Linked DNA regions of Pelodiscus sinensis. The protein of the gene in region 4 purifies or fractionates together with the protein of the main gene of each other region. This does not show direct contact. Links are inferred from orthologs where the notes say so. Each region holds a gene or a part of one and is shown on either strand. Other genes may lie near its edges.

Region 1 (7,858 bases), on a different chromosome or scaffold from region 4:
CAGGTCACCGAGTGCTACCATCACATAGCTAGTGACGCATACCTCTAGAGTCCTGATCCTGCCTCATGGACAACTTCTAAACCTTTGAGTCTCCCGCAGTGGATGGTAGGTTCTGCTCCTGATAGTGCTGCTTGCTACCAGGGGCTCCCACTACCCTTCTTCCACACACACACAGGGATGGGAAGGAGCCAACTTCTTCTCTTGATGAATAAATCAGGTGCCACCTGTTCATGCCACTGACCTGCTTGTTGTAGTGCATGATGCCCAGCGTAGGGAAGACCCAGGTGCTGGCAGGAGGGACGATGTCACTGTCAGCAAAGCTCACCCACTGGATGATCTGGGCTGCTGTCTCCTTGGTGGATCCCCGCAGCTCATCATTACTCACTGGAACAGGAGAGCCAGCTAGTTACCAGCATGGGCAAGGACACCAATCCCATCCAGCCAAGACATGCCCAGCTCTTCCCACCCCAAACCTACACCCCCACCACCACAGACCAACATCTATCCCCTGCAGCACCAGCATTACCCACTCTGAGTGTGGTTGCCATCAGTGGACAGAAAGCAGATCTGCCCTAGCAGAGCCAGCAGCGGGGAGAGCCAAGCCCAGTCCCCAAGGGTACCACAGGGCAAGCAAATACACAAGTACTGATCCAACTACAGTTGCACTGGATATAGGAAGGGGCTGGCCAGTGCCATTAGTCCAGCAGCACAGGAAGGAGCAGCTGGATGGGGCAAGAACACTCTAGCTTTACTGCTAGGAGCAAGCTGGACAGGGTATGCTCTCCCCCACCACATTCCTTCATTCCCCACCCAGGTGTAGGGGGCTGCCCCCATGCCATTACCATAGTGTGCGATGGCGTTACTCTCAAACACACAGAATCCATCAGCCCCTTCAAAGGCAGGAACCTAAAAAGCAAACACCATGTCACCCCTTACAGAGCAACCAAGGCTTTCACCAGCCTGTGCAGCACCCCCTCACTCCAGCTACCCTGGCTAATTCTACCAGCTATCAGAGCACAGCCAGTTCCCAGACCCTTCCCTCCCTCATCTGACACACTGGTCACCCCAAGGGCATCTTGTTCCAACTGACATCCATCATGGACAGTCGGGAGGAGGGGAGAGAAGGCATTCATGGCCTCATTAGACAGCCATTCTTGCCCACCTGAAGGCTGGAATGGCTAGCAACAAAGAGGCAGGCTACATGGGAAGCATGCCTTGGAGAGGAATCACTCAGAGTTTGCCCCTTCTAAGCTTACTTCCCAAGTTCATGCACAGCTGTCACTTGTGTCCTGCCCAAGGGGCAAGGTGACATGAGCGACTACCACACTCTAGCTACCAACATCTTCCACACCACGAAATGCAATTCAAAATTGTTTGAAGCTGATCTGCCTGCTACCAGACCAGGTGCGCCCCTCACCCCATAGCCACCATATATCCCTCACATGGAGACTACAGGAGAGGACAGTGACTCCATGGGACATCTGTTTCTCTGACATGAATGATTCGTTACTGGAAGTCTGGCACTATCCAGCAATACCCACTGCCCAAGCCTGCTTCTTACTCAGCATAAGGAGGCACATGTAACACTGTTACTCACCTTCCCAACAGGGAATTTCTTCAGGAACTCAGGGGTCTTGTTGGTTTGCCCAAAGTGGAACTGGGGTGGAGTGGAAAGGACCTTGATCTTAGCCCCGCTGTACTGGGCAGCAATGAGGGCTTTAAATGCCCGCCAGTTCTCAGGATAGGTGTAGAGAGTCTGTAGGACACAGAAAATGAATCAAGTATGAGAAACACAGGAACAAGTCACCTCCTTAAACTCAACTGACAGCACCCTGATTTTACCAGCCTTCATACCAACCTTTACCTCCTTTATACCTTCATACCAACCTTTACCAGCCTTCATACCAACCAGACACCTCCTTTACCTCTTCAGCTACCATCACCTCCCAGGTATTCCCCCACCCCCCACCCCCCATCCACCAGACAGTAGCTCCCTTCATCTACCCTGCCAGGTCCCTCACCAGTTCAGGGACAGCACCTTCTCACAGCCACTATCCTACCTCCCAATACTCCCCCTGAAATTATCACCACCCCAGATCAGACAACCCCCTTTGCTTCAGCATTCCCCACACATGCACAAAGACCTCTACCCCCACAGACCCAAGCACTCCGTGCAACATGTCTAGCCTGTCATTTTCACTGCTAGCTTTGCCATGCACCCAAAGAGCCATGCCTCTCTTTACAGACTCATGCTGAGCCAATCCCATCCATTGCTCCCATCCCACTGACCAAACTCAGAAGCCAATACCCTCCCTTGGCCAGTTCTCCACTAGAGAGGCACACAAGGACAAGAAAATCCAAGTCAATGGTCAACACCAGGTACCCCAGCACACTCAGAAAGGCTCCTCTCCCCCGCGAGCACTATACCCCCCCAGCAATACCTAAATTATAGGGCAGCCCCGAATACCTCAAAAAAAAAGGACTCCAAGGCAAAAACACCCCCCTATAGTAGGGAGTCGTTGGGGAGGCACAAACTCGCACCCCCTAGCAACTGCCCCATAGCAGCAGGAGCCTTCTCACACACCCCGACAGCTTCTCCTCTCGCGTTAACCCCCCCGGCCCCTAGGGCCGCCTCCCTGAACCGCTCGCTCCTCTCCAGCCCCACCTCTCCTTCAGCGGGTCAGCCCCCTCCCCACCCAGTCCCCAGGGGCGCACCCCAGCAATAGCAGCCACAGGTAAACGAGCCCACCCGCACCCCAGCCCTGCCCTTCCCCCAGGCCCGGGCCAGCCCGCCAGGAACGGATGGGGACGGATTGCCCAGGGAGAGCAGGGACACGCAGAAGCGACACACTTACCCCGGCCGCCGCCATCTTAGCGAGCAGAGAAAGGGAGGAGCGCGGGGCGGGACGGCCGTAAAGGAAAAGGAGACGAGCCACAAAGCAAGACGCCGCACGCCCAGTCGCAGCGCGACACAACACTACTCGGCGCCTTTATAGGGCGTCACCACGGGGCGGGGCTTTATACACGCGACAGGAGGGGCGGAGTCTCTGGGAGCCAAGTGCACAGAGAGCTGCGTAATGGGAGGGGCCGGACGTGGATTTGAAACTCCAACCACGTGGGCGCTCCCCGGCCCCTCCCTCTGAGCGCTAACTTACCCTCTTAATTCCTCCCTCCCCTGCTTGGCTCGCTGCCGCGCTTCTGCATGAAGTGGGAAAGGGCACGTGGCCGCCAGCTGGCGGGGAGGGAGGGGCAGGACTGCTGGGACAGGGCTGCTGGCTCTGTGGTACTTGCTTTGGGCCCTGGGGTTGCTCCCCCAGCTCCAGCTGCCCTTAACTTGCACCTGGTGTCTGCCCTCCCCACACCTCCTAAGGTAGCTTGCTCCCTTCCAGGTCAGACACCACAACCTGGAGTCAGCTCCTGCACCAGTTCTTCAGGAGTGAGGCCCAGGGTGCCACCTGGCAGGGGCTGAGAGAGGTAGAGGCTGTAGAGGGCATAGCTGGAGAGGTGCAGGTCTTGGCCAGTAGCTCCCTGGAGCAGAGCTTGCCCCAAACTCTCTCTCTGTTCTTTCCTGCAGACCCCCCCACTCCTGCAGCCAAGTCCGTCATCAAAGGGCACCCAGCATGCTCTTTAGGATAGGTTGATGCGAGCAGCATGTAGAACTCCATCCATGTGTGGAATAACTTTTTTTACATGCACCAAGGCATGTGCAGATGAACACCACCAGTGGAAACACAGCCAAGCAGCATTTGAACCTCCCCTGGGGGAGCTGCCCAAGCACTCACCTTACAGGGAACACTGCTCACAGACTAGCTAAAGGCAGGGGTGCACAACCCAGTATTCCTGCATTGCTGGATTAGAATAGCCCAGCCTCCCTCCCCAGTGCTAGTCTATCATTTGCCTGTAGCTATCCCTATCTTGCCTTTTAGACTACATCTACTCTGCAGCAGAAGGTCACCTCAAGCTAGAGCAACTCCAGCTACATCAATAACATAGTTGGAGTCAACATCCCTTAAGTTACTGAAGGCTCTATGTCACACAGGGTTGATGGGAGAAACTCTCCTGTGGACTTCCCTTACTCTTCTCATGGGAGTGTGGGGGGGGGCAGGGGGGCAGAGCAACATGACAACTAGAGAATGATCTGTGGTCCATTTGGCAGGTCTTTATTAGACCCCCTAAATCTACTGCCAGTGGTTTGACCTCCCAGTGAGGATCTGGGGTGTGGTGCAGATGTAGCCTTAGGAGTGTCAGCTGGGGGGGGGGGGGGGGGGATGAACTGCCTGTGTGAATACAGCTCCAGACCATTGCCAGACTACAGCCAGTAACAGCAGCAAGGCTCTCTGGGAAAGGCAGACTGGCAGCTATACAACACATGGCATAAACTAAACAGCCACACAATTGTGCCTCCCTTATTACCCACATGTAAGGCTGAGGCATCACGCAGCCAGAGTGCTGGTGAGCAGGACAGCCCCCTCTGTGCTAAGGAAAGGAAGCCACAAACCCCAGCCAAGGCAGCTGGCCGGCCCTGCTTTGAGGGGTGAAAGACAAAATGCTGCTTTATTAAAACAAATGAACTTTTATTGGAGGTGAAGAAGAAAGTACTGGTCTGTCAGCCACCCTCTGCCCCCAACTCCCAGCTGCTGGGTGGAGGAGAGTGGATCTGTACCCTATAAATACAGCAGTAGGTACAGAAGCTGGCCTGGGTACAGCTCAATTGTTTCCCAGTTGGAATCCCGACATGCAGCAAGAGGGATGGTTTTATATTTCAGCTCACAAGACCTGAGTGAGAAGAGAGAAGGTTGAGATCAAGAGCAGCCAGAGCCCGGACCCACAGGAGGTGCTGTTGATCCCCTGCTCCACACCATTAGCCCATCACAGAGGGGAAATGCCCACACTGTTCCCAGGACACATGTCAAGCACTCTACAGCAGAGACTCACGCCACCCAAACCCAATGTGAACTCAGCCAGCTCAGCCCATCTAGTTACTCCCTCCCGACCCTAGAGAGGAGACTTACCCAGATAATCATCCATAAGGGAACCGATTGCAAACTGCAAACCAAACACAGAGATTAGTGTTGAAACAGAGACGGTGAGTTGCCTCTACCTGAGCAGGGCTGCTCATCCCCAGTATTTTAGCACCCCCTGCTGGAAGAGGCTGGGAATGAATGACCTAGCCCTCTTGCTCTGCTCCCTCTTCCTTGCTGGGAGAGGCTAGGGCTGGATTAGCCATGAGTTCCTGCCCCCAGTTCCATGCTGAGAGCTGTGGATCTACACGCGTGCATGCACCATATTTGAAAGAGGCACCAAAGACTCACAATGTCATTCTTATCCACTCTGGTCCCCACGATTTTCAGCCGGATCTCATCATCCTGCTGGATCACGATGTCCTAGAGACATGCAGCACTAGAGTGAGACCCATTTACAAACTTCCTCCTTTTCTCAGGCAGAGGCCAAAAAGGCTAAACACAGAGTTGCACATAACTCCAGCAAATAAAGCGTGTCTGATATGGAGGAAGTAAAATTCTCCCCACCACCCATGAGCCTGTTCCAGCATCTCCCTTGTCCCCAGCTGAGTCTCTCTCCCTCTCCACGCACCCCCATTACACCACAAGCTCCCCTCAAAACACCATCTACCCAGGACTCACCTCATCCACTGTCTTGTAGCAGGGAGGGTTGGAGTTTGGGTCAAATTCCATCTCGGAGGGAATGGACTGAGAAGAGAACAAGAGTCAGTGAAAAAGGAGCTCTCCATATATCACCCTACCTGCTCCCAAAGCTGCCTCTCCCCAGCACTGTGCTTACGTGTCGAGATATGAAACAGGACATGGGCCCAATTTCGGTGAAGAGTCCAACCTATAGGAAGCAGAAGCAGTGATTCCATTAGCATATACAGGCAGTCCCTGGGTTACGTACAAGATAGGAACTATAGGTTTGTTCTTAAGTTGAATTTGTATGCAAGTCGGAACTGGCTCCAGATTCAGCCGCTGCTGCTGAAACTGACCAGGGGCTGACTACAGGAAGCTGGAGGCAGAATTGCTCTGCCCCCAGCTTCCTGGAATCAGCCACTGATCAGTTTCAACAGCAGCTGAATCTTGAGCCTGGGACAGAACAGCTGGGCTGCCAGGTAGGTCCCTGCAGGACCAACCCGGCAGCACCCCAGCTGCTCTACCCCAGGGTCCACAACAAAAGCCTGGTCTGCTGGGGGGGAGGGGGCACTAGCTGCGCCCTCTCTCCCCCCCAGCAGACCAGGGACATGGGGAGCAAAGCCGCAGCGGTGGCGGGGTCCCGTGCCTCTGAGGCTTTGCTCTGGCAAAGCCTCAGAGGCGCGGGACCCCACCGCCACTGCGGCTTTGCTCCCGGTGTCCCTGGTCTGCTGGAGACGGTCCCCAGCAGACCAGGGGCACCCGGAGCAGCTTTTCTCACCCCGGAGGTCGAGGTGGCAGGACCGCTGCGCTCTGGCCGGTCCCGCTGCCTGCGAGCTCCGGGGCGAGAAAGCCCCATTCGTAAGTGCGGATCTGACATAAGTCGGATCCGCGTAACTCAGGGACTGCCTGTACACATGGAGGTTATCCTGTTCCCTCATCAATAGCTACACCCTCTCCAGCCCCAAGACAGCCACTGCTCACACCCTGGGACTCAGATACTAGTCAGACAGAACAGCCTTCGCACATTCCTCCCAGAGCTGCTTTGGGGTTCCTACATCCTTGGTACAAGGACACCGCATAGTCCCAAGCTAGGGATCCACCCACAGGTTTAGCTACATGAATCACCCTTTCCTTCACCGGCCTTGAAGAGAACAGGATTGTTTGCATTGACACAACCATTGTAGCTCAGCGTTATGACAATGGCTATAATCTGATCTCATGCTTCAGAGCTTCAGCAGAAATCAGGAAGGAATAGTTTCCTCCAAATGCACAATCTGTGTTAGGCTGGGTTCCCCACTGCACTTTCCTCTGAAACAGCAGAGACTGGCCACTGCTGGAAATGGAACACTGGGCATAGTGGGCCAGGACTCTGAGATGGTCCAGAGAACCCTCTTCCTAAATGCCTGGCTTGGGCACCATGCTCAAATTGCCAGACGAGTCAGGAAGGAATTTTCCCCTCCAACTCAGACTGACATGGACCTTTGGAGCATCTTGCTTTCCCTTACAGACCTGCGCATGTAAATCACTTGCTCAAATCATCTGGGCATATCTTGCCAAGTCAATTCCCTGCCACTCTGGGTCCTCGGAGGGGCACTGGTAACTGTTTGGTCTCTCCTGTTCTCTGCCCGGGGCTCTCAACTTTTGAGTTACCACAGGACTCAAGTAATTGGATTCAATGCAGGGGTGTCTGGGTGACTTCTCTGGCCTGTGTTATACAGGAGGGCAGAGGAGATGATATAATGGTCCTCTCATTATATACTCCACAAATTCATACAAATGCACCCCACCCCTGCAGCAATGGCTTACCTTGTTGACCTGTGTCACCACAGCATCCACCACCTCTCCCTTGAAGGGCCGGAAGACAATGGCCTTGTACTTGACAGGGTAGAGCACGAAGCCACGACCCGGCTGGATGACACCTGCCCCAATGTTGTCTATGGTAGTGACTGCAATGACAAAGCCATATCTGGGGGAGAGTGGGAACCAGCTCTGTTAGAGAATTCACAGGCAGAGAACAGGACAAAGAATGAGCTGCAATAGAGGGGACTTCCCCCATTCACCACCAGGGGCTAGGTTCTTCCGGTCCCTCCAAAACAGCAACCCTATCCCCTTCCTTCCATGAATCTGCACCTGTCCTGGATCTCCAACCCACCACCCCACTGCTTCCCAAACCCTCCAAATACATTCCCATCTCCCCCAGCCTTGTTACCTCCATC
Region 2 (7,191 bases), on a different chromosome or scaffold from region 4:
GTGCTACCAGACCATTTGTTGCTTAAGATTAGCCAGTACCTCCTCATCCTCTGATCCGAAGAGATCAATGTCATCATCATCTTTGCTATCTGTGGCTGCAGCTGTAGCGTCTTCAACATCAGCAGGACCATATTTCCCCAAAGCTTTCTTTACTCCTGGCAAACTAAAACAAGTGGCAAAATATTACACTCCTAATCTCACACACAAAGATTTAAGATCAATGAACCTCCAGTAATGATTATTTGTGATAGCAATCAAGTATACTACAATTTCAAAAGTGAGAGAAGCCAGAACAGTCCCAAAAGTGCACTCAACATAATTAAATTGACAATTATAATGGTGAATCCCGCATGCATAGGCAGCTAAATGGCATACTACTTTTGCTCTTGCTAGCAGAATTTCCGACAATATAGCACCTAACAGCAACCACTTGTCTGGAATTTTGTTCATGGGTGATTTGGTAAGTTTTGCTTTTTACAACATGCAGAAAAGAGACAATAGATCAGAGAAAGATTAGTGGTTCTTGAAAATTAACACTATATTGCATCATTAAATAAATCTTCCACTTTCCACCCAAATGATTTCTTGAAAACCTTTGTTTTCAGTGGAGGATCAATTAGTGGCTTGGTAGGTACAGTGGTAAGGCTAGTTTTGTAACCAGGTAATTAATTGATTTTGGTGTTTTAGCTATGGAGTTGTTTGAGAATGAGCTTTTTTAGTGCCTAACATCAACACAACCTGGCTTGTGTTGTTTTAGAACGAATGGAACCTGTTAGGAACTAAATACAGGAAGCCCCAACTCTGAACACATTTTCCTATAGAAAGCTATAAAATGGTTTTAGGTTCCCAGGCTATCCCACAAAAACCTACTTAACCCATAATATAGCTGAAATACTATATTCACAAAATATACTAGTAATCCATATCTGCACTGTGTGCAGATTTTTTCCATCCATGTGTAGTATTTTATGTGCACTGAGGCATGTGCAAATCTACACCAACAAACAGATGCTCTGCTAATCAGCTCAGCATCATTTGAATTTCTCCTAAGCAGACACCCAACCGCACAGGAAACAATGCTAGTAATTAAACAATCAGAATAATAGAATTGACCAAGAAATAGTTTATTTAACCTTAATGCTGGTGTTTATGGAAAGGCAGATTTAATTAGAGGATGAGGAAGATGGAAATTCTGAAGGGGACTTCTGGACATCCTCCACCCATCTCACCTCAGGGGTTGCACCCAAAGCTGGAGGACTCTGGAGCAGGGAGAGCCACACAGCCAACAGGAGAGAAGTGGTGCCTTGAAAGGAAAACTGTCACTTCTATAGCCACTGATTGCATGGCCACCTACTGTGCCTCCAGTGCTGTCCCATGTCCACACCACACACACCTCTTGCTTACTTCCACAGCTGCAAATAGGCATTTGCTTTTATGTTTGTAATTGAGTCTGGACTTCAGAAGTGCAAACAGCTCCCTCTATTGCTTGAAAATATATATATTTCAGCCTTTCTACTGCCTCCTCCTTTAGCTACCTTAGTGTATTTAACTATGACTTTCTTTGCACCTTCATTATTCTGAAGGTATCTACCGAAGACAAAATGATGTTATCTTAAGCTTTTATGTCTATTTGCATTTTATTAGATTGCTATTTCTGATAAACTGCAGTGACAGAACACTAGCCTCCATGATTATGTTCCTCTATATTAACCTGTACTTTGAATTTTGCTAGACTGGTACTAGTTAGATGTTGTCAGAATTTGTAGCGAGATTAATGAAATAAGCTTATAACTTTTGTCCAGTTTCAAGACAAACCATCACAAGTGGTATACAGTTAGCAGAAGCATCAAAAAAGCCAAAGGTCAGGAGACTGAACAATTCAACTCTACAGGAGGCTCCCCCAAAACAGGGTTGAAGCACAATGGTGAGGCAGTGTGGAAAGTGCACACACTGAAGCTGCCTATGGTGTACCTTTTCTAGAGAGGACTTCAGTCTCCATGGCTGTCAATACGGCAACTTTCATGAGCACTAAATTCACTAAAAGAGAAAAGAATACATTTGCTTTCACATTTCCAGGTGCTTCTGCAGGTCACTATTTAATTTACTTTAAGATTTCAGGATGATCATGTGAATGAAAGGTCTCCCAACATGAGAGTTGGTAATTTTGTTTGCTAGAATTCCTATTTCAAGATACACATGGGGCGGGGAGTGAGAAGCTGGTGTACATATTGTAGGGGGAATCTGTACTGGGCCATGATCCGGTCGGGGTATAAGCGTCACCTATTTACCATTGTGGGCTCAGCTGTGTGCTGGGCCAGGAACAGCCCGTGGGTTCAAAGTCCCTGTCTACAGAACTGCTGGCTACAAGCCCATGGAGACACGATGACGCTCGGCGATTAGCCCCTCACGTATCAGTGAGCGCTCCGCGGGAGCCGCTGGAGGTACCTGGCCTTTTGCCGCTCATAGGACTGGATGTGCTTGTACCAGCGCAGCGCGTGGAACAGGTCAGCCGGGGGTGGCGCGGACAAGGCCTCGAAAACCGCCACGTCCGCCTGCGAGGGCACGTGCCTGCAGAAAACACGAGTCAGCGCCGATCCCAGGCACGACACGCTGCGCAACACACGCCGCAGGCTTCCCGCCCGCCCCGGGGCGCAGGGAACCCGCCAGGCGGCTCGTGCATCACCGCCCTGGGCCCAACGGACTCAACCGCTGTTGGGGGGGGGGGGGTGTCCGAGCGCGCGCAGGCCACGCGGCACGAGGCCGACCTGCAGGCCACGCGCCAGATCCCAGCAGGCCGGGCTCGCGGGGGAGGGGCCGTTCTGCGGCAGCCGCCTCACGGCTCCGCGCGCCGCTCACCCCTCGATGTAGCTTTTGTCAGCGAGGAAGTCGTTGAGGAGCCGGAGGCCGGCAGAGGAGCGGAGGTCCCCGAAGCCCATGGCGGCGAGAGTACCGTCGTCGTCACAGCCCTCAGACGCAAGACCCGACCGGCACCCACCGCAGAAAGAGAGAGAGGCAGCCCTCCGCTCCCGTTTTATAGAGAGTGCGTGGTATCCCTCCGCCGCACGGGCCTCTGACGTGACATTATCCCTCCGCGGGAACGCACCTGGAAATAATCCCCCGCCACACCACTTAGCACAGGAGCAGGGCGGATGGGGAGGGACACTCGGAGGACGGAGATAGCGAACGGCTAATAATGAGGATGTTCGGGGGGTTCCGCCTCGGCTACAACGCGAAGATTTTCGAAAATCACCAGAACTGAGCGGGGGACTGACGGAAGTTACCGATCAGCGGCACTGGTGACGGAAATGGCCGAAGGAGCCTTCGGGGAGTAACGGAAGTTGCCGAGGCCCCTACTGACGGAAATGGCCGATGGAATCTCCGGGGAGTGACGGAAGTTGCCGAGGCCCCTACTGACGGAAATGGCCGATGGAATCTCCGGGGAGTGACGGAAGTTGCCGAGGCCCCTACTGACGGAAATGGCCGATGGAATCTCCGGGGAGTGACGGAAGTTGCCGAAGCGGCCGCCATATTAGCGGGGCGAGAGCGCTCAGGCGCAGCGTCTGCCTTCAGAAGACCGAATAGGTGCGGCGGGGGCGGCCGGCTCCTCCAGCGCACGGAGGTAACGGGGCCCGGGGCCTTGCTGCGGCGCTGGGCGGGGTCAGCCGCTCCCTGCCGCGGCGGGTTCGTTGCTTTCCGCCTGTCCCGGGGTGCCCTTGACCGGCGCGGGGGCGCGCGCGTCCCCCTGTGCCCCGCCCCGCCCGGCAGCGGCGGCCCGGGTCTCCCTGGCTGGGGGAGCCCGGGTGCCCTGAGGCGGGGCCCGGCCCTAGGGCCTGGGGCGTTCGCAGGCCTGCCCAGGCCGCTCGCTCGCTGTCGGTGCTGCGGGCTCCGGGGCCCGCGCTGCGGCACGTACTGGGGCAGTGCCCCTGGTGGCACAGGCCGGCGTGCGACGGCTTCCTTCAAACCCGCCAGCGCCCCAGCAGCCTGCAGCCCTGCGTTCGCACCGTTCGTAACTCTCCATTGGTACAAACCCGCCAGCGCCCCAGCAGCCTGCAGCCCTGCGTTCGCACCGTGCGTAACTCTCCATTAGTACAAACCCGCCAGCGCCCCAGCAGCCTGCAGCCCTGCGTTCGCACCGTTCGTAACTCTCCATTAGTACAAACCCGCCAGTGCCCCAGCAGCCTGCAGCCCTGCGTTCGCACCGTTCGTAACTCTCCATTGGTACAAACCCGCCAGTGCCCCAGCAGCCTGCAGCCCTGCGTTCGCACCGTGCGTAACTCTCCATTAGTACAAACCCGCCAGCGCCCCAGCAGCCTGCAGCCCTGCGTTCGCACCGTTCGTAACTCTCCATTAGTACAAACCCGCCAGCGCCCCAGCAGCCTGCAGCCCTGCGTTCGCACCGTTCGTAACTCTCCATTGGTACAAACCCGCCAGTGCCCCAGCAGCCTGCAGCCCTGCGTTCGCACCGTGCGTAACTCTCCATTAGTACAAACCCGCCAGCGCCCCAGCAGCCTGCAGCCCTGCGTTCGCACCGTGCGTAACTCTCCATTGGTACAAACCCGCCAGTGCCCCAGCAGCCTGCAGCCCTGCGTTCGCACCGTGCGTAACTCTCCATTAGTACAAACCCGCCAGCGCCCCAGCAGCCTGCAGCCCTGCGTTCGCACCGTTCGTAACTCTCCATTAGTACAAACCCGCCAGCGCCCCAGCAGCCTGCAGCCCTGCGTTCGCACCGTTCGTAACTCTCCATTGGTACAAACCCGCCAGTGCCCCAGCAGCCTGCAGCCCTGCGTTCGCACCGTTCGTAACTCTCCATTAGTACAAACCCGCCAGCGCCCCAGCAGCCTGCAGCCCTGCGTTCGCACCGTTCGTAACTCTCCATTAGTACAAACCCGCCAGCGCCCCAGCAGCCTGCAGCCCTGCGTTCGCACCGTTCGTAACTCTCCATTAGTACAAACCCGCCAGCGCCCCAGCAGCCTGCAGCCCTGCGTTCGCACCGTTCGTAACTCTCCATTAGTACAAACCCGCCAGTGCCCCAGCAGCCTGCAGCCCTGCGTTCGCACCGTGCGTAACTCTCCATTAGTACAAACCCGCCAGCGCCCCAGCAGCCTGCAGCCCTGCGTTCGCACCGTTCGTAACTCTCCATTGGTACAAACCCGCCAGTGCCCCAGCAGCCTGCAGCCCTGCGTTCGCACCGTGCGTAACTCTCCATTAGTACAAACCCGCCAGTGCCCCAGCAGCCTGCAGCCCTGCGTTCGCACCGTGCGTAACTCTCCATTAGTACAAACCCGCCAGTGCCCCAGCAGCCTGCAGCCCTGCGTTCGCACCGTTCGTAACTCTCCATTAGTACAAACCCGCCAGTGCCCCAGCAGCCTGCAGCCCTGCGTTCGCACCGTGCGTAACTCTCCATTAGTACAAACCCGCCAGCGCCCCAGCAGCCTGCAGCCCTGCGTTCGCACCGTGCGTAACTCTCCATTAGTACAAACCCGCCAGTGCCCCAGCAGCCTGCAGCCCTGCGTTCGCACCGTTCGTAACTCTCCATTGGTACAAACCCGCCAGCGCCCCAGCAGCCTGCAGCCCTGCGTTCGCACCGTTCGTAACTCTCCATTAGTACAAACCCGCCAGCGCCCCAGCAGCCTGCAGCCCTGCGTTCGCACCGTTCGTAACTCTCCATTGGTACAAACCCGCCAGCGCCCCAGCAGCCTGCAGCCCTGCGTTCGCACCGTTCGTAACTCTCCATTAGTACAAACCCGCCAGTGCCCCAGCAGCCTGCAGCCCTGCGTTCGCACCGTTCGTAACTCTCCATTGGTACAAACCCGCCAGTGCCCCAGCAGCCTGCAGCCCTGCGTTCGCACCGTGCGTAACTCTCCATTGGTACAAACCCGCCAGTGCCCCAGCAGCCTGCAGCCCTGCGTTCGCACCGTTCGTAACTCTCCATTAGTACAAACCCGCCAGTGCCCCAGCAGCCTGCAGCCCTGCGTTCGCACCGTTCGTAACTCTCCATTGGTACAAACCCGCCAGTGCCCCAGCAGCCTGCAGCCCTGCGTTCGCACCGTGCGTAACTCTCCATTGGTACAAACCCGCCAGTGCCCCAGCAGCCTGCAGCCCTGCGTTCGCACCGTGCGTAACTCTCCATTGGTACAAACCCGCCAGCGCCCCAGCAGCCTGCAGCCCTGCGTTCGCACCGTTCGTAACTCTCCATTGGTACAAACCCGCCAGTGCCCCAGCAGCCTGCAGCCCTGCGTTCGCACCGTGCGTAACTCTCCATTAGTACAAACCCGCCAGCGCCCCAGCAGCCTGCAGCCCTGCGTTCGCACCGTGCGTAACTCTCCATTAGTACAAACCCGCCAGCGCCCCAGCAGCCTGCAGCCCTGCGTTCGCACCGTGCGTAACTCTCCATTAGTACAAACCCGCCAGCGCCCCAGCAGCCTGCAGCCCTGCGTTCGCACCGTGCGTAACTCTCCATTAGTACAAACCCGCCAGCGCCCCAGCAGCCTGCAGCCCTGCGTTCGCACCGTTCGTAACTCTCCATTAGTACAAACCCGCCAGTGCCCCAGCAGCCTGCAGCCCTGCGTTCGCACCGTTCGTAACTCTCCATTAGTACAAACCCGCCAGCGCCCCAGCAGCCTGCAGCCCTGCGTTCGCACCGTTCGTAACTCTCCATTAGTACAAACCCGCCAGCGCCCCAGCAGCCTGCAGCCCTGCGTTCGCACCGTTCGTAACTCTCCATTAGTACAAACCCGCCAGCGCCCCAGCAGCCTGCAGCCCTGCGTTCGCACCGTTCGTAACTCTCCATTGGTACAAACCCGCCAGCGCCCCAGCAGCCTGCAGCCCTGCGTTCGCACCGTGCGTAACTCTCCATTAGTACAAACCCGCCAGTGCCCCAGCAGCCTGCAGCCCTGCGTTCGCACCGTTCGTAACTCTCCATTGGTACAAACCCGCCAGCGCCCCAGCAGCCTGCAGCCCTGCGTTCGCACCGTTCGTAACTCTCCATTAGTACAAACCCGCCAGTGCCCCAGCAGCCTGCAGCCCTGCGTTCGCACCGTTCGTAACTCTCCATTAGTACAAACCCGCCAGCGCCCCAGCAGCCTGCAGCCCTGCGTTCGCACCGTTCGTAACTCTCCATTAGTACAAACCCGCCAGCGCCCCAGCAGCCTGCAGCCCTGCGTTCGCACCGTTCGTAACTCTCCATTGGTA
Region 3 (7,777 bases), on a different chromosome or scaffold from region 4:
GCATGCCATTCCAATAACAATTTTCTCAACATACCAACCCATACTGTATTATAGTAAACATTACGTCAATATCAATAGCCTCCAGAGTAATACAAGACAACTGTTCCTTACTTCAAAGAGGAAGGAGGAGCACTGCTAACAGATGTTTTGAAAGGGTTAACAACCTGAAGGCAAGCTTTGGCCAATTGCTCACTTGGAACACCTTTCCAGATTCTTCTTACCATGATGTTTCCCATGGGGCCACTCTCTCCTTCCCCATAGGTGGAAATGATGACATTGACATTCTCCACAATACGCTGGAAAGTCTGATACAGCTCTTCTGGTTCCAACTGCAGCTCCAACAGTGCTCTGTCCATCTTATTCATCATCAGGACTGGCTTGATCCTCTCAGCAATGGCCTGTCGCAGCACAGTTTCTGTCTGTACACACACACCTGGAGAAGGCAGGGGGAGAATCTTGGAGATTACTGCTGCAGGACTAGCATGCTACTTCTACACAACATGCATCAAAATGTTGCTACCAGTTCTCACCAGAGACACAGTCTACAACCACCAGGGCACCATCGGTGACACGGAGAGCAGCTGTGACTTCTGAAGAGAAGTCTACGTGTCCAGGAGAGTCAATCAAGTTAATCAAGAAACCAGATCCATCCTTGCTCTGCTTGATAAAGGCCAAGTCATTTTCCGACAGCTCATAGAACAGAGAGATCGCTCTGAAAGAGAAGATACACAAGACTAGAAGGTTCACTTTACTACATCAGCTATCCGCTTGTAATCTATGGTAACTGCTTTAGCATTGTGCATTTGAAAGAACTGCTACATGATAATGCATTAAAAAGGAGTATTTTTGGCACTGCATTTCACTCTGGTAGCAGATAGGCCCACCCCACATAAGAGTTAGAGATAGTTAAGTTGCTGGCTAAAGAAATCACTAACCAAATCAGCTCTGGGAATTCCAGGTAGTGTCTACAGAAGTAGACAAAACATAGGTTAACAGGAAAAGTTCTAATCTTACTATTGTATGACGTTTGTTCACTGTTTTGATTACCAAGATCGAGGTTTTTAACTGATGGACTATGTACAAGCCATTATTTAATTCTCAACACATTTAGAGAACACTCACAATACCCTATAGGGCAGGGAAGTAAACCTCTGAGGCAGCCAAAGCACTAAATGGTTTCTTCTTCCCCCATTTTAGAATCCAAAATACTATTTCAACCCAGAAGTTCCTGAATCCCAGTTCTGTGATGAGACCAGAAGCAACTGAACACCAGAATGTGCTTGAAGGGACAGAACTTACGTTGACTTGATGGTGATGCATCTTTCCTGCTCATCTTTTCTCGTGTCTGTGAAACGAGTCTCACCCGCACGGGCAGAGGCAATGATACCAGCTTTACATACCAAGGAGTCAGTCAAGGTGGATTTGCCATGATCCACATGGGCAATCACAGACATGTTTCGGATATTGGCCTTTTTGTCCATAATGGCCCGAATCTGGTCTACTGTGAAGTTCACCTTGAAGAGAAGGTTATACAGTCAGGGGCAAGTTCTTCCAGGAATCCAGACATGGCAGTGCCAAGTTTAGTGTCACTGAAATAGACTGCTCAGTAAACATGACAGGACAACACAGAGAAAGCAGTTTTTCAGTGCGTTCTCATCTCATTGAATGCCTCCAACCAGGCATTTAGTACTTACTTTGGGGAGTCAATTGCACAGCCTAATAGGGTCTTACAGTCAAGAAAGTCTCCTATAAAAAGTCTTAAGATCACCTTTGCTCACATTTCATACCTGTACTCCTAGCCCTACCGCACAGAACCATCATGATACTGCACAAAATAAGCAACTCAGAACACCTGCCACATCCGATCCCAATTCTTCACAACCCAGACATCCAAGCTGGGATTTTACTCTAGACTGCAGAGTTACATAAGAATGCTACTACCTCATTGCAGGCAGTATTTTCCCCCTTCCCCCAGGCTGCAGTACCTCCCTTTGACCAGAGGAGAGACTAGAAACACATCCTGGCACTTGCCTTCCCCCACCCCGCCACATCATTCCTAGCTGCACAACAGCTTCAAGGCTCCCCTAATGAACAAACCCCTGAACACAAGACGTGAGGAAGCTGCTCGCCTGTCTGTTGGGGGGTGGAAAAGAGGCTGATCAACACAGAGCAACCAGCACAATCGCTAGGAGAGCAAGGGCAAGCTGCAGAGAAGCTCACACCTATACCCCCATTGCTCAGCAAGGAAGCTCTGTCGAGCTAGCAGGCCTCAAAGCCTCCTACCCCCTCCCTAGTGCTCTGATGGCGCATCCACACCCTGTAAAAGGGGTGGGTGGGTAGGTCGCTCAGACAGGGCACAGTTCACCCGCCAAGGGGGAGACTGGCAGAGGCCCTACTGTGGGAGCTCCCCTAGGGAAGGGGTTTCCTTTAACAGGAGGACGCAGCCCAATCCAGGGGTGGATTCACCCCTAGAGAAGACGCTCCCCACCCCCTCCATTCTCCATAGTGCTGGATGGCGCAACACCCCCCCCATTCAAAGAGGGGGAGAAGACACCCCCTTTCTCCCCCCCCCCCGTTCCCAGGCCCCCTTTCTCCCCCCCCCCGTTCCCAGGCCCTCTTTCTGCCCCCCCCCCCCGTTCCCAGGCCCCACAGCAAACAGGTAGTTCTTAGGGATCTTAGTTACATTTCCCCCCCCGCACGCGCGCGCGCGCACACACACACGGCAGCCGCCCCACCCCCACCTTCCCAGGCCTCCCCGTTGGTCCATATCGGCCAGGGGGCGGCCATATCCAGTGGCCCGCCCAGGTCAGGGCCTCCCGTAGCCCCCCAGCCCGCCCCTAGGTGCCGGTAGCTCACCATGGCTGCGGATGGCGGCGGATTCTCCGGGAGCGGAGAAAAGGAGGGGACCGGTAATGGCGGCGGCTGCAGCCCTGTCTCGTTGGCGGGGACAGAGCGGGCGGAAGAGAAAGCTGACGTCAACGCCCAGCCTTCTTATAGGCCGGAGCCGGCCTAGAGGCGGGGACAGCGGGCAGCTCAAGGCGCATGCGTCGGAGCGTCTGTCTCCCTCCCCGGTACCCTTAAGGGCGTTCTATGGTGCGGAGGGCCTTTAACTCTGCGCAAGGGACATCCTGCAACCACGTGGCTCTACATAGGAGGAGCCCCAGTCTACGCAAGTATCCCAGAGGGCAAAACCCTAGGGCTGCTACAAATGCTAAAACTGGTAAGACTTGGGTTGTTTAATCTGTAACCCGTTTATGATTCAAAGCACAACAATAGGAAATAATCCAGCTCTACACCTTTCAAGTAAATGAAGAATAAATCGAGGGTAAGACTTAGGAAGGGTGGTATAGGACATTGTGGGGTTGATGCATAAACATAACACTTGCAAGTTTTCTGGCAAACTGGGAGTCCCTTAATACTTGTCTCTAAACTACAGTACTACTGTTCTGTGGACAAAATCAACTCCAATCACATCCACTCTTGAGTGATTACTTTTAATGCAGGGTGGAGTAATGGAGAGTTCTGATCTGCATGACACACTCACAAATTGGAGCTAAAGTTCAGGGCTAGAACACAGATCCACCGCAGCTGATCCTCTAGTTATGGGTCACCTATATATGATCCCTCAAAGGGTGTTCTGTTGAAATCAGAAAGATTCCAGGAAGGCATGAGAAGCTGTTCACTCAAATCCCCTTCCAGGACAGGGACCATATTTCATAGGATACATGTAAAATATGTTAATAAAACCACTATGTAGGTGAATTAAACTGGACTCTGCTTAAAACCTTATCAAGAATACAAGCTAGTCCTGGATGTTTAACACCTCACTTAATGGAATTAAGCAAATGAATATAATCTTCTAAATGAAAACAAAATTCATTGCCTAAGGTTATCTCTATGACTGGCTTGACCATGATGATTAGATGAGACTGCAGTAGTCTGGCTTCTTGTACATCAGTAGCATTCCTTCAGATCCTGCTTACATCAGTAATTGTTCAAACTCTTGTATAATCAATTATAGCCAAGTATCAGATACAGCTCTTTCAGAAGTTAACGAGAATCTTGCCATTTATTTAAACTGAGAATTGGGTTCTAAGGGAATCCCCTGTATATTTTTGTGAAAAGTTATGACTAAGTTGTAAAGCGGTCTATCTTGATTCCTAAACTAAAATGAATACATGATAAAAAAAGAATATAATAGGGAATAAGCCAATTAAAATATGTGCTTTTGAAATCCTTGGCCAGTTCACTTCCATTCATTAAAGGTGTGGGTAATAATACCTCTCTTCCCCCCAACACAAACTGGGACACTCCTCAGTTTCATCAGTTTTACAGCTGTAACCACGGACTTATGGAGGAAGACTCCTGCGTTACCTCAGCATAAAGCAGATGAGAATCAGGACCCCAAGCTGCAGTGGGGGAGGTCTAGGTTGGATATTAGGAAAAACTATTTCACTAGGAGAGTGGTGAAGCACTGGAATGGGTTACGCAGGGAGGCAGTGAAATCTCCCTCCTTGGAGATTCTTAAGTCCTGGGTTGACAAAGCCCAGGCTGGGTTGATTTAGTTGGGGTTGGCCCTGTTTTGGGCAGGGGGCTGGACTCAATGACCTCCTGAGGTCTCTTCCAGCCCTAGGATTGTATTAGTCTAATTAATTTCCAAATTGCAATGCAGCTGGAGGTGATTCATAACAGCTCCAAACTGCTGAACAGATACATTATTTCTGGCTTTGGCCCGGACCCTGAAATGAGCTCTACATGGGTGGACTCCAGGTGGAGCCCTCATTCAGTCAAGTCAGCTCTGCTTGGTGCAGGCTCTATAATCTTGTCCTTAAAAGCAAGATTCAGATAAGGGTTGTGGTTGTTTGGGGTTTTGTTGGGGGGGGGGGTTGTTTTTTAAAGCATACACCATTTGTTGAAGCAGTATCCTTTGGCTTACCATGTTAACATTTGGTCAGCTGTACACTGAGGCCTGATCTTCCGATTTCCCACACAAGCAAGAAGTCCTATGCGAGTGATCTCTCTGTAGCCTAAGGAAACAGCTGCATGAGTAAAGGTTTTCAGGCTTTCACCCAGTGTGGTCCATTCCTTCTCTGTAAATCAAAGAAAAGCATTCATGAAAAATATACCACCACCAATTGCTGGGGGTTGCTTTTACCCGGCAGACACTCTCAGAACCTTCTTCTCTTTGAAACTATTGCCTCTTATGGGGTCCTTGCTAGAGCATTCAAATGCAGCTGCTGCCAGATGCTTACAATGAAACAGAAGCTGGAATAACTCAGCACTTTGTGTTTCTTTCTGACATTAACCTCCCTCGATTTATTTTATTTTTGGCCTCTGTATTTTGATTGTTGTATCTTTACTGCTACATTATGGCCATTATTTCTGTGCTTATGGCCAAAATATCAAGGGGGAGGGGACATAGGCTGGGAGGACTCCAAGGCCTGCATTAAATATTAAAGGAGGAGGGGGAAGGGAAATGAAATGAAAACCTCTGCAGGGATCCTGTGCTGCGCATGTACTGGCCGCAAGAGGAAGGAGCAGCAGCTCCACCTACAGGATGGGAGGTTCTGGTGCAAGCCAAGTGCTCCCAGAGGTGCTTGTGGGTTTGCTGGCATGCCAGGAGGGGAGAGCAGGAATCGGGTGCTGAAGAGCATTATTTTTAGAGCCTCCACTAAAAGCTGGCACTTGGGTGCTGTTGTGCTCATTCGTTCTTGCAGGCTTCACCTTCATCCAGATCTTTGTAAGGGGAAGGCGTGGAGATTTCTGCATGTGCAAAGCAACAAGGGAGGTTTTAAAAAATGTCTCCTTGAAACACACGCCGCAGAAGTCCTCGCACCTTGGCGGAATGCTCAGTCCCTTGCAGGCGGAGGTACAGGTCAGCGATATCTGTCTACCTAGCTGTTTTCATGAGACTCATCGCCTAGGTTTCTAAGCACCAGTAAAACAAAACTTAGGTTCTAACTAGGGATGCAAAAGGTTTGAGTGATGCTACAGAGCATCTGAAGCGGGCCCAGGGTGGTCACAGGCAGAGGCTGCTCCAACCGGGTTCCAGCCCGCCCCCCCTTTAATTGGTTAACCAATTAAACATGATGTTTAACCAATTAAACAGGATTGTACATCTCCTCTAGTTCTAAGAATCCCCCTATTGCTGTGGTTTTACCCAGATCCTTTATCTGGGGTGATCTGGCTTTTTCTCCCATGACTCTCTATTGTTGGCTTACTCTCATGGATTAGATGACAGTGCGAATGAATGCATCTTACAGAGGGCCCTAAAGAATGCAAGTGCACCATGCTTCCTGGTGGGGTGGGATGGGGTCCTGTCCCTGTTCCCTCTGCAGAGGAGAGTCCCAGAGCTGACTAACTGCTATCCTGACGGTGAAAGCCCTCTCTGGCATAGTGGCCATGAGGACAGCCTTTGGGGCATGTTCAATGCCTCTGGAAACTCCCTGAGTTGCAGTGTATGGGCTGGGAGGCAGTTAGACTAACTGCAGCAACCTTAAAAAGGCAGGTTCCCCTTAAAGTGCATTCAGCCCTGGCAGAGGGACACAAGCTGCAGGGGGAAGGCTCTCACGTCAGCGGTGAAATAGCATGAGGGCGCAGAGAGGAGGTTGTTGTTAGATGAAAAGAGAAGCTGAGGGAGGGGTAGTCCTGGGAGAATTCTGCAATGTTACTGTGGCTCCAAATGCAACAATTGCAGAATTCCCCTAGCACTACTAGAGGGAGGCGGGACCAATGAAGTCAGCTGGATCAAATTAGGATCCTAAAGTGCACAAGGAGTGGAGTGCTTTGAGAGTGGGGCAGTAATCTGTCACTGAGCTCTCAGTCCACCTGCTTGGCTCAGGCTGCCTGCTAATATTTTTGTGCTCAGGTATCACAAGATGCATCCCAGCCCCCTCTAAAAGATACACATCACCACTACCTAAAGCCTCATTATATCAGGGATGGCCAGAGGATTCACACTCTCCAGGGGAGAAATGCACTCCTACTCCAGAACCTTTCCTTGCTCGGTATTTAACCCATCTGCAGTTAGCTTAGTCTGAATATTTTGTTCCCTGGCTCTTGAAAATGCATCGAAAAACTAAAGTATCACTCTGAAAATACACCCTTATGACCTGTAAGGGCTGATCTATCCTTAAGTTAGGTCAGCATAGCTGCAGTTCTTAGGGTTGTGAACAATTAAGCCAACCTAACCCCCAATGTAGACGTGGTTAGGCTGATGGTAGAATTTTTCCATTAACCTAGCTACTATAACATGGGAGGCAGATTCCCACACAGACAGAAACCCCCTTCCATTGCTGTAGGTAGCATCGTCTACACTACCATGTGGCAGCACCATAAATGCAGCTCTGTAACTATGCCTCTGTAGCGCCCCTAGTGTAGACCTGGCCTAAATATCAGCGATCTACTCTGCTCCTTTTTATACTTCTCTGCCTTATATGTAGCTTCCTTCACAGGATCTCAGAGTGCTTCAAAAACATCAGACCAAATTCTTCTCTCAGACTGGTACAAATCTCTTACTTGCAGGCTGTGGAGTTACAGCCATGACAATCTGGTATGAGAGGAAAAACCGACCTGTTGTTCTGTCAAGCCCCTGTGCAATAGGGAAGTCTCCTTGTCCCATTTTCACAGATGGAGAAACTGAGGCAAAGAGCATAAGTAACTTGCCCAAGGTCACACAGTAAGTCAGTGCCAGGACAGCATCCAGGCGACCTGACTCTCGCTCTCTCCTTGTTTAGAGGCTAAATATATTCCCTCTTTTTTAATTTATTTTCAATCA
Region 4 (7,052 bases):
TATCTGCCACCAGCCTGAAGGCTGAGAAACTCTTTTTATGCCATGTGGAACTGAGAGATCACTTGAAATTACAGCAACAAATTAAAAATTATTGCAGATACTGGATGAATTGGGGAACCAATGGTTGGACAGAGAGCTCTTTTACCTCCAAGACTGATGGCTGAGTGTTCAGAAAATACTGCCTATTTGACTGGTGTAGGAATAAATTGAGTAGACTTTCTAGGAGACACTATGTAGAACTCTGACTACTCTTGAAAATAGTCACTTATTTGCATGCTTAATATGGACTCTAGACCAGTGGTCTCCAACTTTTTAAAGCACAAGATTACTTTTTCAATGTAAGTCAATCCAGGATCTACCTTAAACCCAAATACACTTGCCACCACCTCCTTCCCCCCTACCTTCTTGGAGGCCCTGCCCTGCTATACTCTTTCTCAGAGGCCTCACCCTGCCCACTCTGTGGAGATGTGGTACAGAGGTGGAGAGAAAGGGAAACCCTGACATCACCACTGCCTTTTCCCCCCTCCCCCACCCGCACAGCAAGCAGGAAGATCCTGGGGTGCAGCTCCAAGGCAGAGGGCAGGAGAATCATAGTAGTGGGGGGGAGAGGCAGCCAAAATGCTGGCAAGTGATAACCTCCTAGACAAACCGGTTACGTTTTTAAATCAGTTAAAAAGCAAATAGCTGTTTATGCAAGAGCTTCCACTATTTCAAGCCCTAGTGGAACTGACCTGATGGTGGCAACCAAAGGATATCTAAAGGAAAAACAAAGACTATCCTTTCTCCATACAAGTTTTTATTCCCTTCCCCAGATTTGTTTAGAAAATGATCTTATAGGCTACATCTACACTGTAGCCTTCTTCCGCAAAAGCTTATGCAAATGAAGCACAGAGTGGAATATTGCTGCGCTTCATTTGCATAATTAATTAGCAGCCGCTTTTGCGCAAGAGGTTCCTTTTTTTGGCGTAGACGGCTCCTTTTTGTGGAAAATCCCCCTTTTGCGCAAGAGCCATTCTTCCTCATTTTTTCAGGAAGAACGGCTCTTGCACAAGAAGGGGTTTTTGCATAAAAAGGAGCCGTCTACACAGCTCCTTTTTGCGCAAAAGCCTCTTGCGCAAAAGCGGCTGCTAATTGATTATGCAAATGAAGCATGGCGATATTCCACTCTGCACTTCGTTTGCATAAGCTTTTGCAGAAGAAGGCTACAGTGTAGATGTAGCCATAGAGTGGACAAGAGCAGTCTTTATGGATTGTGGTCATTCCAAGCACAACTAAGCACAGCTCCAACAATGTGAGTGTTGAATAATATGTCTCCAAACTAATTACATGAAGAATTTCAGTATAAAACATTGAAAAATATACCCCCGTCATAATCCGTGGTCAAATTCAGTTAAAATGATTGCTAATGCATGTCTCCGTAATATGTGATAATCCATTGTAACACCTCAGTATGATTAAACTAAACTGTAATTCTTCAAATATACTCATGTACACATACCATGCAATAGTCACATAGAAGACTATTATCTAAATATGGTTAAATATCTACAAATACATTGAAAATTCCTTTGATTACCCAAAATCTCAAATATCCATTTGCTAAATGACAATGACAGGAAAGGTGGTGGTATTGAAGCTGCACCTTTATTTCAACATGTGCTCTGCTAATTTCTAATCTGCTTTAGTTTCGCGGGCTGGGAACCCTAATAATATGATGTACATCAGTCTCAAAATTCAATGTCCTGTGAAGTGCATCACAGATTCCCCAGGTAATAAGAACACTCTTGAACAGCTTTCACAACCATATTAAAGCAAAGTTTTACGCTAATGGCTGCGTCTAGACTTCCTGCTTTTGTGGAAAAACTTGCCAGCTGTCTACACCGGCTGCTTGCATTTCCGCAAGAACACTGACGATCTCATGTAAGATTGTCAGTGTTCTTGCGGAAATACTATGCTGCTCCCGTTAGGGCAAAAGCCCTGTTGCGTAAATGCTTTTGCACAAGAGGGACAGTGTAGACAACGCAATATTGTTTTGCGCAAAAAAGCCCTGATCGTGAAAATGGCGATCGGGGTTTTCTTGCGCAAAACCATGTCTAGTTTCGCACGGACGCTTTTCCACAAAAAGTGCTTTTGCAGAAAAGTGTCCGTGCCAATATAGACGCTCTTTTCCGCAAATGTTTTTAAAATGTTTCCGTTAAAAGCATTTGCGGAAAATCATGCCAGTCTAGACGTAGCCTACTGAGTGTCTATTCAAAAATGACAACACACATAAATATAGGGAGCAGACCTCATGAGTATTCAGTGATATCTGTTTATTCTAGTGAGCAAATTAAATCTTTGCTGCAGATAGCACTGCAAATTTGTGATATTTGTGCAAATAAGTGCCTTTGTCACAGAGAAGGAATCAAACAGTTGTTTTTATTCAGAGGGTCCAGCTAAATTCATCTATGGAACCCCACAGGAGAGAATAGCATGCATGCAGCACCACAAAATATATGTAACGCAGAATCTTATTACTAATGGCGATGCATAAGAAAATCCCAGCTTGACTTTGAACGAGGAAGACTGAGAAAAATAATCTTTTAATTTGTAAGAGCTTGTATACACCTGGAATTGTACAGAAATAACTATTTTGGAAGAGAGTCTCTCTTTGGAAGAGTAATGGTGTTAGTCTGTAACTTCAAAAACAATAAGCAGTCCTGTGGCATTTTAGAGACTAACAAATATATCATGAGCTTTCATGGGTAAAATCCACTTCATAAAATGGGTATTTTGGTAGAGTTAGTCAACAGGTGAATCCTTGAATTTCTGAAGTCCCAGTTTAGCTTAATTTATGCACTAACCAAAAGCAAGGAACACTTATTCTGGGGTAAGAATGTCCATGCATTGATTTACTCAGGTTTCAAATTCACACACACCTTCCTTTAATTCAAATTAATTTAAAAATGCTGACAAGCCCTAACGTAAGCACACTTAATCCAGAGAAACAATTAATAGTGGAACCTTAAGTTGTCCTTTTTATAAAAAGCTGTTGTAGCAGTGTTGGGCCCAGGATAGTAGACCTAACAGATAGTACCTCTTACAGGACCAAGTTCTGTTGATGCAGAATAAATTTTATGTGCACCATGGCATGTGCAGACATGAATCTCCAAAAGAAACACATGCTGCAAGCTGTTGGAGGCTGTGGGCGCTGTGCTGATCAGCTGGATGGTATTTAAATTTCATATGCAGCTCCCCAAGTGCTCAGTTTAAAGGGAACACGGGTGCATTGGGTGGGGGTAGGGGACTAAAGTAGTATGGTGTTTTCAGCAGATATATAAGGATAGAGTAGCACAGGTGGCGGAAAAGGTGATTTTAACACGGAGGGAAGCGTCATGATCTCTGGGGATCAGGAATAATGAATGGGATGGAAAGGGGCAGTCGGTGGAACATAAGGAAAGCGGGAGATGAAGGCGAGGCTGCACATACCCAGGGTGGGTAGGAGAGCTTGAACGTCTGAAGGGGAAAGCAAGTAGCTATGGTGACTAGACAAGAGGACTGGGCGCCTGGGAGCTTGTGTGAGAAAGAGACGGGCTGCGGGGCACGGGGAGCAGCTGGAGGAGGCGAGTGCCGAGGGACGGTGCGTGGCGGGTAGCACTGCGCGGGCTGCTGTCCCGGGACAGGCCCATGGGCAGGGTCTGGGGGGCAGCGCAGGGGGATGGGACACAGGCCAGGAGATTCCTTCCCCCCGACTGCCCTGCCCTGGTGACCGTGTCTGAGTAGGAGCAGGTCACGCTCAGAGAGGGGGGAGGGGCTGCCGCGATTCAGGGCGCGCGGGAGGGGTCATCACCAAATTCCGAGCGGAGACACCCAGCGGGGCTGCGGCTGGCAGCGCCCCCTGTCTCGCAGCGCGCAGAGATATTTGTCCCGGCTCCCTGCCCAGCCCGACGCCAGCGGCGGTGGGAAGGAGGAGCGAGTGGAACGCTGGGAACGGTGACGTGTCCCGGAGGCTCCGCCCTCGCACAGGATATATAAGCGCAGCGGCTCACATTGTCGGTCTTTTTCGCCACGGGTTTGCCGACGCTTAGCAGGTGAGAGGCGGCCGCGTGGAGCAGGCCTCGGTGGGGGGAGGGGTAGGCCCGCCCTATGTGGCTGGAACAATCGAGCGCGAGGCGCATGGTGGTTGAATGCAGCCTTGAGCGGGGAAGCTGCGGCGCGTGCTGGGGCTGGCGATAGGCAAGGGAGCCGCGAGACGATGGGGGCCCTTCTGTGGGCGGGGGGGGGTTCACAAAATGGCGACGTGGCCACGCGCTGCCCCCGGTGGGTAGCGTATGGAACCCGGACTGGGGAATCCCCTTCGCGGCGCGGGAGGGGGGGGGAGGGCTCCCCATCTGCCGGGCGGTGTGGGCCGGCCAGACGTGCGGGGGGTGGGAGCGGGGTCGCGCTCCCTAGTGCGGGGCCGCTCCCATTCCTCGCCGCCCCTTTCAGCGAAAATGGCCGCGTCTCCCGCACACGCGCCACAAAATGGAGGACGCGGCGGTCCGGGCGGAGTGAGTCAGTGACACAAAGAGCCGGGCCGGCCGGCGCTCGCCAGGCCGCATGGCCGCTCTTTCGCTCGCGGTGGGAGGGAAGCGTTTCTCGCCTTGTGTGCCCCCTCCCTCGCGGGGTGGGCGGAGCCGCGGCCCTCGAGTGCCGCCTGGGCCTAGTCGCGGCCGCCACGCCCTGCGCCGGGCGCCGCCCCGTTAGCGGCGCTCGGGCCCGGGCTCATTCCTGCCGCCTTTTCCCTGCCTAGGAGTTACCCTTGTAACGCGAGAGCGGCCGCCGCGAACCACCCAACATGGGCAAGGAGAAAACCCACATCAACATCGTCGTGATCGGCCATGTCGACTCCGGCAAGTCCACCACCACCGGGCACCTCATCTACAAGTGCGGGGGCATCGACAAGCGAACCATCGAGAAGTTCGAGAAGGAAGCCGCGGAGGTACCGCCACTAGCTTGCTTGCAGTGCAGAATGGAGGCTCAGCAGCTGGGTGTGGTTGCTCCAGGCCACAGTTGGTGAAATAGCACCTCTTTTAAACTGCTGCAGACTGTAAAGATAAATCCATCCGTCCGGACTGGGAGAAAAGACCTGACCTAAGTACAGCAGGGATTTTCAGAGTTCCCAGCCTCTGGCAGGGGTTTCAATTAGACAACACTAAGCTGCTCTGTATCAGCAACTGTTAAATCTAGGTTTTTTAAAGGCTGAGCAATACATGGCTCTTGTACCACAAAGAGCACCAATGAAAAGCATTACAACAGACTGCATCTCAAACTTGAGTGACAAGATTACCCTAGCCAAAAATTGCCCCAGGGTAAATAGTACATACTCTAGCTGTGGAAGAGATTACAGTACTATGAAAACAAGAGCTTATAGTGGACACTTGATACAGCCTTGGCTCTGCTTGGTCTAACTTTAAGAGATGTATTAAATATAATTAAGAGATTGAGGGCCAATGTGGTGTCAGGTCAAATACCAGAAAACAGATGGTATTTCTCACCAGTGATGCCAAATGTATTCAAGCCAAAGTGCTCTTAGCATTACAGAAAACTAGCTGCAATGGAAGCTCTTTACTACTTTGAGATGTTCCCACTAGCATTGGAAATAATTTAAACTGCTATAAAATAGTGCAAGATGTACTAACACACTTTTTTAAACACCTGTAGATGGGCAAAGGTTCCTTCAAATATGCCTGGGTTTTGGACAAGCTGAAGGCTGAACGGGAGCGAGGCATCACAATTGATATTTCTTTGTGGAAATTTGAAACCAGCAAATACTATGTCACCATTATTGATGCTCCTGGACACAGGGACTTCATCAAGAACATGATTACTGGCACCTCACAAGTATGTAAATGTGAATTCAGTTGGGTTTGTTATCTATTTGTGGTCCATGTAAAAAACTAATTATCCTCTTCTCCAAAGGCTGACTGTGCTGTCCTTATTGTTGCTGCTGGTGTTGGTGAGTTTGAAGCTGGTATCTCCAAGAATGGGCAGACTCGTGAACATGCCCTTCTGGCTTACACGCTGGGGGTAAAACAGCTGATTGTTGGTGTGAACAAGATGGATTCCACTGAGCCACCATATAGCCAGAAGAGATATGAAGAAATTGTCAAAGAAGTCAGCACTTATATTAAGAAGATTGGCTATAATCCAGACACTGTAGCTTTTGTACCAATTTCTGGTTGGAACGGGGACAACATGTTGGAGCCTAGCTCTAATGTAAGTTTGCATTTATTTTGTATATCAATTGAATTGAAAAGACTGCCAGAGTGAATTGTCACAATAATATGCATTTGAATGGAGATTAAATTGTTAAACTTGTCAGATCAAGGCAAGTTTCAATGTTTCACAACTTAAGATACAAAGAAGAAATACTCGTAAATATTCAGATATGTGAATAGGAAGGACACAAGTTATGTTTGTGCTGCTTTTTGTTTAGATGCCCTGGTTTAAGGGATGGAAGGTTACCCGTAAGGATGGCAATGCAAGTGGAACTACCCTGCTAGAAGCTTTGGATAGCATACTGCCACCAACTCGTCCAACTGACAAGCCTCTGCGCCTGCCTCTGCAAGATGTCTACAAAATTGGCGGTTAGTATTTTGTGTGAAGACTAGTTCTGTAAATTTGTCAGTTTGCTAGTGACATTCCAACCCTTAAACTGCAGAAATGGTAACATTTGTCAATCTTTGTATAAGTTTAAGTTGTAAGAAATAAACATCCTAGAGGGTTTTTTCTTTCAGGTATTGGTACTGTACCAGTTGGTCGTGTGGAAACTGGTATCCTGAAACCAGGCATGGTGGTAACATTTGCTCCTGTCAACGTAACAACTGAAGTAAAATCTGTTGAGATGCATCATGAAGCTTTGAGCGAAGCTCTGCCTGGTGACAATGTTGGTTTCAATGTCAAGAACGTGTCTGTGAAAGATGTTCGCCGTGGTAATGTTGCTGGTGACAGCAAGAACGACCCCCCAATGGAAGCGGCTGGCTTCACTGCACAGGTACTGTTTGGAACCATTTGAAGGTCTTTGGAATTCA

Evidence for each region.
Region 1: the proteins of EEF1A1 (region 4) and EEF1G purify together in Homo sapiens (affinity purification with mass spectrometry; 5 studies listed by BioGRID and IntAct, counting the BioPlex papers as one, with this or other methods). This does not show direct contact. The link is inferred for Pelodiscus sinensis from reciprocal best matches to the Homo sapiens genes EEF1A1 and EEF1G.
Region 2: the proteins of EEF1A1 (region 4) and EEF1B2 purify together in Homo sapiens (affinity purification with mass spectrometry; 3 studies listed by BioGRID and IntAct, counting the BioPlex papers as one, with this or other methods). This does not show direct contact. The link is inferred for Pelodiscus sinensis from reciprocal best matches to the Homo sapiens genes EEF1A1 and EEF1B2.
Region 3: the proteins of EEF1A1 (region 4) and EEF2 fractionate together in Homo sapiens (co-fractionation; 3 studies listed by BioGRID). This does not show direct contact. The link is inferred for Pelodiscus sinensis from reciprocal best matches to the Homo sapiens genes EEF1A1 and EEF2.

The regions. Positions count from the first base shown.
Region 1 is NC_134721.1:36,815,222-36,823,079, reverse strand, and holds the start of EEF1G (elongation factor 1-gamma), read right to left. Parts: upstream 3,012-7,858; 5' UTR 2,871-3,011; coding exon 2,856-2,870; intron 1,757-2,855; coding exon 1,598-1,756; intron 907-1,597; coding exon 843-906; intron 385-842; coding exon 242-384; intron 1-241. Other genes in the region: POLR2G (DNA-directed RNA polymerase II subunit RPB7), read right to left, coding at 4,763-4,776, 5,013-5,046, 5,313-5,384, 5,643-5,708, 5,800-5,850, 7,449-7,608. UniProt on the Homo sapiens protein: Probably plays a role in anchoring the complex to other cellular components.
Region 2 is NC_134717.1:75,105,078-75,112,268, reverse strand, and holds the start of EEF1B2 (elongation factor 1-beta), read right to left. Parts: upstream 3,017-7,191; 5' UTR 2,937-3,016; coding exon 2,857-2,936; intron 2,569-2,856; coding exon 2,446-2,568; intron 164-2,445; coding exon 40-163; intron 1-39. UniProt on the Homo sapiens protein: Catalytic subunit of the guanine nucleotide exchange factor (GEF) (eEF1B subcomplex) of the eukaryotic elongation factor 1 complex (eEF1).
Region 3 is NC_134729.1:22,015,420-22,023,196, forward strand, and holds the start of EEF2 (elongation factor 2), read right to left. Parts: upstream 3,013-7,777; 5' UTR 2,860-3,012; coding exon 2,857-2,859; intron 1,515-2,856; coding exon 1,300-1,514; intron 713-1,299; coding exon 531-712; intron 434-530; coding exon 222-433; intron 1-221. UniProt on the Homo sapiens protein: Catalyzes the GTP-dependent ribosomal translocation step during translation elongation.
Region 4 is NC_134713.1:54,087,873-54,094,924, reverse strand, and holds the start of EEF1A1 (elongation factor 1-alpha 1), read left to right. Parts: upstream 1-4,041; 5' UTR 4,042-4,070; intron 4,071-4,771; 5' UTR 4,772-4,816; coding exon 4,817-4,960; intron 4,961-5,682; coding exon 5,683-5,862; intron 5,863-5,940; coding exon 5,941-6,237; intron 6,238-6,457; coding exon 6,458-6,608; intron 6,609-6,758; coding exon 6,759-7,015; intron 7,016-7,052. UniProt on the Homo sapiens protein: Translation elongation factor that catalyzes the GTP-dependent binding of aminoacyl-tRNA (aa-tRNA) to the A-site of ribosomes during the elongation phase of protein synthesis.